Cricetulus griseus: one gene and its partner. The protein of the gene in region 2 purifies or fractionates together with the protein of the main gene of each other region. This does not show direct contact. Links are inferred from orthologs where the notes say so. Each region holds a gene or a part of one and is shown on either strand. Other genes may lie near its edges.

Region 1 (3,804 bases), about 180 Mb from region 2:
CCTTGACAGCTGCCCACTGGACACCTTCACACCCTTCACTTCTCAAGACAGGAAGAAAATACTGGCAGGAAGGGGCAAAAGACAAGACAATTCATAGAGAAAGAACTCTCAGAATGTGCAGCGCACCCCTCTCCAGCTTCCTAATTGTCACAACAACGCAAAAACCAAAAGACGAAACAAGGTGCCCACCAACTGACCAGGAGCAGCAGATAAGTCCATCAGGAAATCAAGAAACGCCCCAGGGCAGGTGGCTGTCAACCTTCATTCACACTGGGGACTGAGTCTAAATTAGAACAAAGAAGTTAATGGTTCCTGAGGCAGGGCTGTACCTGTGGTATCCACCTGAGGCAGAAGACGCAGGAAGATGGGCCGGGCATAGGATGCCAGAACCTTCTGCAACTCCTGGTACATGGTGTTAGGGTCCAACTGGCCGTGGGGATCTGCAATGGCCGCCATGCCGGCTTTGCCCTCCACTCCTGCAGAGGGAGGGAGGTTCAGCTGAGAACACCTGCCCACCTGTAGCGTCCGGCTCTCTACTCTATGACCTCCCAACTGGGACAACATTGGTCCTGACAGCACCCATTTCATAAGGGGTCATTTCGACCCTTCTGATCCTAAGGGTCCCCCAAACTGAGGCTCAGCGTTAGAAACAGTTGGAAACTACTTCTCCAGGTTGTATGCTTGCATATACTTGTATATGTCCCCTCTGGGTGGACTCCTTGGGTTCTCTGCACCCCACAACCACCCGGCGTCCCCAGCTTGCCTGGCACGGCCACCCCGTACACGGCCACATCAGTCTGGCCCAGCAGGCGGCTCAGCACGGCTTCCACCTCGGTGGTGGACACGTTCTCCCCGCGCCAGCGGAAGGTGTCCCCGCTGCGGTCGCGGAAATACATGTAGCCCAGCTCGTCCATCACCAGCACGTCACCTGCAGGGGAGAGGGGCAGGTGGGACCCAGCTTCACATCAAGCCAGACAGTCGGACCGCGCGGCTCGCACCTGAGAGGTAGGCGCTGTCGCCCTTGCGGAACACGCTGTGGGCGATCTTCTTGCTGGTGGCGCTATCGCTAACGTAGCCGTCGAAGCGCCGCAGAGGGTCTTGCTGGTTGATCTGGCCCACCAGAAGGCCGGGCTCTCCTGAAGGAGTGAGTGACAGACACTCAGCGGAGTGGGGCGGGTGCCGCGGGGACCCTAGCTCCCCGAGGCACCGGCGGGGCTGCTCTCACCGGGCTGGCATGGGATGCAGAGGCCCTGGGCGTCCCGCAAGGGCTCCATCGTGTCCTCATTCACCTTGACCAGACGGATGGGGTACACGTGCGTGAGGATGCGGCTGTTGAAGCCGCAGGAGCCGACCTGGGGTGGACGAGGCGGTGAGCGGCAGTGAGCGGCCACGCACGCAGCCCCGAGGCACCCGCCGAGGGAGGGAGCAGCCGCGAACCTTGCCGTCCATGTTGGCGATGCTGCAGTTGCACTCGGTGGCGCCGTAGAACTCGCCGATCTGCCGCACGCCGAAGCGCTGCGTGAACTCCTCCCAAATGGCCGGCCGCAGCCCGTTGCCCACGGCCAGGCGCACACGGTGCCGCCGCTCCACGTCACGAATCGGTTGCCTCAGCAGGTAGCGGCAGATCTCCCCGATGTACTGCACTACCTGTGGGGGAGGGGGCTCAGGGAACGCCCAGTCAACAGCAGTGCGGAGAGGCGGGGCCAGCCTGGCCGGGGAGGCCTGCGGGGGTTGGGGTGGGGTGGCTGGAGGTGGGACGGAAGAGGGCATGACACACCTTGTGGCTGGAGCCTCTCCTTTTCCTAGGCAGCACTGACCCCTGCAGGATGGGCCGTCACCCCGGAGCAGCTGTCCCTTGGCACCCTGAGCTTGGGGCAGGGCCGCATACAGAGCCCATTGCCTCATAGATTAAGGGTGTCACCCCCAGTAAACTCCTGGGTATCCTCAAATTCTTTTTCCCCCTCCCTCACTTTTTTTTTTCTAACTTTCGTTTACATAAGGTCTTATTATGTAGCCCAGGATGACCTGGAACTCGGTATGTAGACCAGGCTAGCATTTAACTCACAGAGATCTGCCTATCTCTGCTTCATGTTGTAGGAATTAAAGGGCTGCACCACCACTTGGGATGGGCTTTTGAATAGCTGCATGCTCCACTTTACAGATGGACAAACTGAGGCCAACAATAACAAGGAAGTCACAGAGGTAGTAAAAGGCTGAATTGGACTTGAAGCCTGGCCAGGCACCCTGGACAGTTGTCATACGGCAGTCACCCTCTCAGGGTTAGCAACCAGGCTAGCCACACAGCCTCCTCCCCATCTTCTGCAAGGAAACCAAATTTCTCCTTCTACCCTCCACATCCTGTCTCTGCCTCAGGGACTGTACTGTTGTGCTGAAACACTTTTGTCACAGGCACGCCACCTGAGCTCTAGGTTGGCTCCTGCCCTGTCCCCCGTGTGCCCCCCCCCATGTCCCCAAGCAGCCATGGCAGCCCAGAGACAAGCTAGGTAGAACAGGGAGTGCCTCCCGCCAGCACCGCTGTGGTCCCCTCCCTCCTACCTCCCACAAAGGAACAGGAAGACAGCATCCCACCTGCCATCTGGATAATAACATGCTACCATCTGTGACAGGAGGGGCACAAGCAGTGTGAGCCAAGGAGAATCAGCACTGAGGACTTTGCGGTGCTGGGGACAGAACCAAGGCAAGCCAGGCAAGCAGTCTCCCCTCCCATTCATGACTTTGGAGATAGGGTCTTTGTAGCCCAGACTGTCCAGGAATTTCTGATCCTCCTGCCTCAGCCTTCCAAATGCTAGGATGACAGGTGTCATCCTAGCCTCCAATCTGGGGTCACAGCTCACTGGGGCTTTTAATGGAAGGTTGGAAAAAGGACTTTTTCTCCCCTGAAGTGACAGGGGCAGTGTCCCCCCCCCCACTGAAAGGAAAAGCCCAGTGGAGAGGGTAACCGAACAAAATGGAGGGCTGAGTACAGGGCACTAGGACCAAGGGGCACATAGCCTTGGCTACATCGCAAGTTCATGACAGCAAGTACATGAGCTGGTCTCCAAAAGCGGGGAGAGGGAGGAGACAAGAGAGGAAGGAGGGAGTGTGGGGTAGAGAGAGAGGGAGGGAACAGGAGAGGAGGGAGGGAGTGTGGGGCAGAGCCCCCTAGGTCACATGACCTGAAGCTGTTCCTATGCAGCATTCCCATTTCTGTGAACTCAAACCCTGTCCTTGAGAAAGCTTAGACTTCAGCTTTCTCAAAAGCTTAGACTTCAGCTGGATTTGGTCTCTTTCAATTCACTAACCTTCTGCCTAACTGTCTGCCCAATGCAGTGCCACATCCCAGCACTCACGCTGCATGTGTCAGGAGGACCTCGGGTCCAGTAAGACTCTGGCTCAGAAGCTAAGTAAAGTCCCACCTGCCAGGTGCTCCATCTGCAGCCCTGAGGTGAGGTTTCCAGTGGCCTCCAGTGTTTGGTTGAACATAGCTTCAGCTCTCAGAGCTCTGCCCCTCACATCTTTGCCCCTCAGCCCACTGCCCCTTTGCCCAACAGGGTCTTTCACAGATACACAAATTGACAGAAATGGCTTTGAAGGATCTTCAGACAGTAAGCAGATTCTGAAAACCTTTGAAGAGTCCAGACAAAGGGACCCTAGGATGTCATGGAAGTCTGTGACCAGGGCATGCCTCACCACAGGCAGTCTGATGTAGGTTCAACATGTTGTGGAATGGTCAGATCCAGGTGGATCTCTGTGAATCCCAGGCCAACCTGGTCTATATAGTGAGTTCTAGGACAGCAGGGATAG
Region 2 (4,403 bases):
CCTGGGCTGTGATGAAGCAACAGTTACCCCAGGAAGCCCAGGACATGGCAGCACCCCAGCTTTCTCAGGTCCCCCAAAGATGGTCAACGCCCACTAGGTCAGCAGAAAGCATTCTTAAGAACTCTATGCCCTGCCCGGCGGTGGTGGTGCACACCTTTAATCCCAGCATTCGGGAGGCAGAGGCAGGCGGATCTCTGTGAGTTCAAGACCAGCCTGGTCTACAAGAGCTAGTTCCAGGACAGCCTCCAAAGCCACAGAGAAACCCTGTCTTGTAAAACCAAAAAAAAAAAAAAAAAAAAAAAAAAAAAAAGAACTCTACGCCCTTATTCCCTAACCTGCCATGTCTAACACCCCACCTTTTTAATAATAAGAAAAGGTGGGAATGAAAGGTGCAGGCATAAAGCTGGCCTGGCTACCTGGCAGAATCCACTCAGGCAGTACTCTGGTCAGCCCAGGGTTCCATGAGAACTAAGTCTGCAGGGAGGTGTAAAGGACCCCTTTAAAAGACAGACCCCCTGCTCACTTATGCTCTCTTCTACTACACCCTCTTGGCGCTCTCTCTCTCTCTCTCTCTCTCTCTCTCTCTCTCTCTCTCTCTCTCTCTCTCTCTCTCTCTCTCTCTCTGTGTGTGTCTCTCTGTCTCTCTCTCCTCTCTGTCTCTGTCTCTCTCTCGCTCTCTCGCTCCCCCCCCCTTAATAAACTCCATGGTTAATGTATCTCCTGGTTCACGTTCCCTAGCTCGAGTCTTTAAACAAGATCACAACACTGGCCTTAATCACCCTCTTGTTTCAGTCTCTTAGCACAGGGATTATAGCACCTCCTTTTTTTTTTTTTTTTTTTTAATGTGTTGAAGGCAGGCACGTGCACAGTGCACCTGTGGAGGTTTCACCGCACCGAGCCATCCCACTGGCTGGCCTCTCTTTGTTGTTGTTGCTGTTTGTTTGTGAGGCGGAGTCTCACTATATAGCCCTAGCTGGTCCGGAACTCACTATGTAGAACTGGCTGATCTCGAACTATAGAGATACACCTGTCTCGGCCTCCCAAGAGCTGGAGTTAAGGGCGTGCACCACCACGTTTGGCCGCCCTCCATTCCATTTTCAAAGCAGTGGCACCTTCAGTCTGCCCGCAGGAAGGCAGGAGTGCTATTTCTAAACCCACAACTAGCACCGGACCCATCCCCCATACTACAGCTGTCTCTGTCTATCCTGGGGCCAACATGGCACCTGGTCCTTGCTATCTCATCAGACAGCACCTTTCAGTTTTAGATCTTCCTATTAGACACTAAACATTTCGAAAAGGAGCGAGGTTCCCCACCTCAAAAAAAAATTAGTTTGTTGGGGATCACATTCGCCCACCAAGAGATAAACCAAGAGGGAAAGTACTGCTTACATCTTCTACCCCTACCCGCGCCCCGCCCAGGAGATCAAGTCCACCTTTTATTGGTCAAAAGTTCCCCCTACCCTCCCACCCGTGCGGAGAAGGCGACTTTTCACTGGTCAAACACCAGCCACGTGACTCCCCCCCCTTTTTTTCCCCTTCCTGGGCTGGAAACCTGGGGAGGTTGCAAGAAGTTAAACTGAAGACAGAAGCGAGAGCTGGGTCAGGTAAATCCCTAGCTGGAATGGGCCGGCAGACCCCCACTTTATCCCCCTATAAAAAAGGAGGGCAGAGCTGTATAAAAGGAGTGGGCACCCCCCCCCCGCCCCCGCCCCGGGTCCACACACTGCCTAACACAGGACCTAAGGGCGGGGAAGGAGGGAGACGGATGAATCCGAAGCAGGAACTCAGGCAAGTTCTTGTGGTCCCAGGTCCTTCCCTTTAAAGGTCAGAGAAGTCTGTTAGAGGGAAGTGTGCACCAAACCAGACTTCACAGCTTTGTGCAGAGTAGGAGCACTGTTTTTTAGAAACAGCAGGAGTCAGAGACAATCCTGACAAGATGTTGTACCCCGTTTGAGTGAAAAGGGGAGCGTAGGGAGCTGGTTTTCTTCCTAGAGGTCAAAGAGTCCTGAAAACACAGCTGAGAAGGATGGCAGCTAAGCAGCGGCACAATTTCTTAGAGGGCTTCCTAATAAGGCATCGATGTGCTAGCCTAGGAGAGCAGGGATGCGTTCTGGTAGCAGGGTTTGGGACCCTGAGTGCAGGAGTTCCAGGAAGTCCGCTGCTTAGGTTTCAGAAGGTTTGTCTTGTTGACCCAAATACCGTACCATTGCTGGTTTCCATGGAGACAGTAGGTCTGACATCACCCTGGTTGCCATGGTGCTTAGTTCTGGAGGACCTGAGCAGGCTGTAAACAGCCAGGGATGAACCGGGGACTTCTGCTCAAGCTGCTGCTGCTTCCTTCCTCCTGTCACCTGTTAACAGTCACACACAGCAGCTGGGATTGGGACAGGGCAGTAGAGGGAGGGGTGAGACCAGAGAGCTGGACAAGGATGGCTGTGTGTGTGTGTGTGTGTGTGTGTGTGTGTGTGTGTGTGTGTCACTAGAGGAAGGGGGGCGTAGGGAGGTTTTTTGGGACCTGGTATAGAGAACTTACCGAAATCATTCTGTCTCCCTGTGGGTTGGGTGCTGGTGTCTCACTGGCACTCAGAAAGACACCATTAGACGTCCTTTATCACCTATCTTGGACTTGAATCTTGACTGGCCAGAGCCACAGAAGTTTATAAGGTAACCATGAAGGGCTTAACCCTAGCTGGAGTAGATAGATAGGAAGCATTGGCTGGTTTTGAAGGTAGAACTTCCAGACTCCCCCACCCCATTTTCCCTTCTCAGTGTTCTTCAGTCATCTTCACCTTCTGCCTTTTCTGCTACCGGGGAAGGCAGTGACTTTTCTGTCTCTGACCACAGTCCAAGACTCTGTGGGTCAGCTTGTCTGTCACTCCATCCTCATGCCTGATCCCAGATGCAACTCCATAGCCCAAGGGCACAGCCTTGCTTAATGTGTGTGTGTGTGGGGGGGGGGGAGTCATACCTTAACCCTGGTTGTCCTTCAAGCTGATTAGCAAGGGACAGGACCAGAGTCCCAGTCCCCCACCCCTTTTTGTTGTAAATTGTAATGTGATTTATGGATGGTAATCGCCACAAATCCTTCTCTCCAGTCCCTGAGATCAAGATCCCTGAGATCAAACTCTGTAGAATTTACAGTGGAGAGAAAGCGAAAAGGAGCCTGACTAAATGTACACCCAGGAGGACTTAACTCTCCCAGGCCTGCTGGGCCCTGCAGTATCAGAAAGCTTCCTGCCTGGCCTGATTCCACTCACGTCAATGGCAGTCTTAACTGAGCCTTGCAAAGCCAGTGCTGAGAACCAGTAAACCAGAAGTTCTCAACCTTCCTAACGCTGTGACCCTTTAATACATACAGTTCCTCATGTTGTGGTGACCCCCAGCCATAAAGTTATTTTGTTGCTACTTCTTAAGTGTAATTTTACTACTGTATGAATGTAATATAAATAGCTGACAGAGGGGTGTGGCCCACGGGTTGAGAACCACTCGCCTAAACCAAGAGTGGAGGGTTGATGGACAGATGGGTGCTGGGACACTTGGGCCTTAAGGAGACTGGTGGGTCTTCTCTTTGGGTTCTGTGGGAGGACGCTAGGGACTATGGAGGACCCAGGTATTGTGAAAGGGACCCAGGTTATTTCCCTCTCTCCAGTCAGTCAGCCTCTCTGTGATGCCTCCCCACTGACCAGAACACCAGGGGGTTGGACTTTTCAGCCTTTGGCCTCTTTGACCTTTCAAGGTCAGTGCAGTTTCCCAAGGCCCTGTGGATCCTTGGAAGAGGCAGCTTCCCTGTGGCTTCTAGCAAGAATACTTCCAGGAAAGCATGGGATTAGGGCAGAAGGACTGAACTGGCCTGGGTTTTGGAGATTACTGCCCTGCTTTTGATGCCTGGAGTCCTACTTCTGCTGTCTGCCTCCCCTGATGGGAGTTCCCTCCCCTCTTCCTCCTCTATAAAAATTTTTATTTATTTATTTTTAAGATTTATTTTTATTTTATGTAGATTGGTGTCGTGTTTTGCCTGCATGTGTGTCTGAGTGAGGGTGTCAGATCCTCTGGAACTGGAGTTACAGACAGTTGTGAGCTGCCATGTGGGTGCTGGGAATTGAACCTTAGCCAGTGCTGTTAACTGCTGAGCCATCTCTCCAGCCCAGGGACTCCAATTCTTAAGAGAGCTTTTCCCTGCAGGTGGCCACTCTAGCAACCCTGGACTGCCACAACTATGACCTCCTCCTGCCCAGACTCAGATAATAGCTGGGTGCTTGCTGGCTCTGAGGTAGGAACAGTGGGCCTGGGAACTACGTGGGAGGGGGGACTTCCACAGGAGTGGACTGCTTTGAACCGGAACCTGCAGGAATAAGGGTCCCAAATGGTGAGGTGTTTAGTGGGAGTGTCAGGGATTGAGGGAT

The links.
Region 1: the proteins of Pbxip1 (region 2) and Slc27a1 purify together in Homo sapiens (co-immunoprecipitation; 3 studies listed by BioGRID and IntAct, with this or other methods). This does not show direct contact. The link is inferred for Cricetulus griseus from reciprocal best matches to the Homo sapiens genes PBXIP1 and SLC27A1.

The regions. Positions count from the first base shown.
Region 1 is NW_023276806.1:247,956,137-247,959,940, reverse strand, and holds part of Slc27a1 (long-chain fatty acid transport protein 1), read right to left. Parts: intron 1,648-3,804; coding exon 1,438-1,647; intron 1,353-1,437; coding exon 1,226-1,352; intron 1,137-1,225; coding exon 999-1,136; intron 929-998; coding exon 764-928; intron 477-763; coding exon 330-476; intron 1-329. UniProt on the Homo sapiens protein: Mediates the import of long-chain fatty acids (LCFA) into the cell by facilitating their transport at the plasma membrane.
Region 2 is NW_023276806.1:65,108,729-65,113,131, reverse strand, and holds the start of Pbxip1 (pre-B-cell leukemia transcription factor-interacting protein 1), read left to right. Parts: upstream 1-1,509; 5' UTR 1,510-1,604; intron 1,605-2,587; exon of another isoform or gene 2,588-2,664; intron 2,665-4,182; 5' UTR 4,183-4,216; coding exon 4,217-4,270; intron 4,271-4,403. UniProt on the Homo sapiens protein: Regulator of pre-B-cell leukemia transcription factors (BPXs) function. Inhibits the binding of PBX1-HOX complex to DNA and blocks the transcriptional activity of E2A-PBX1.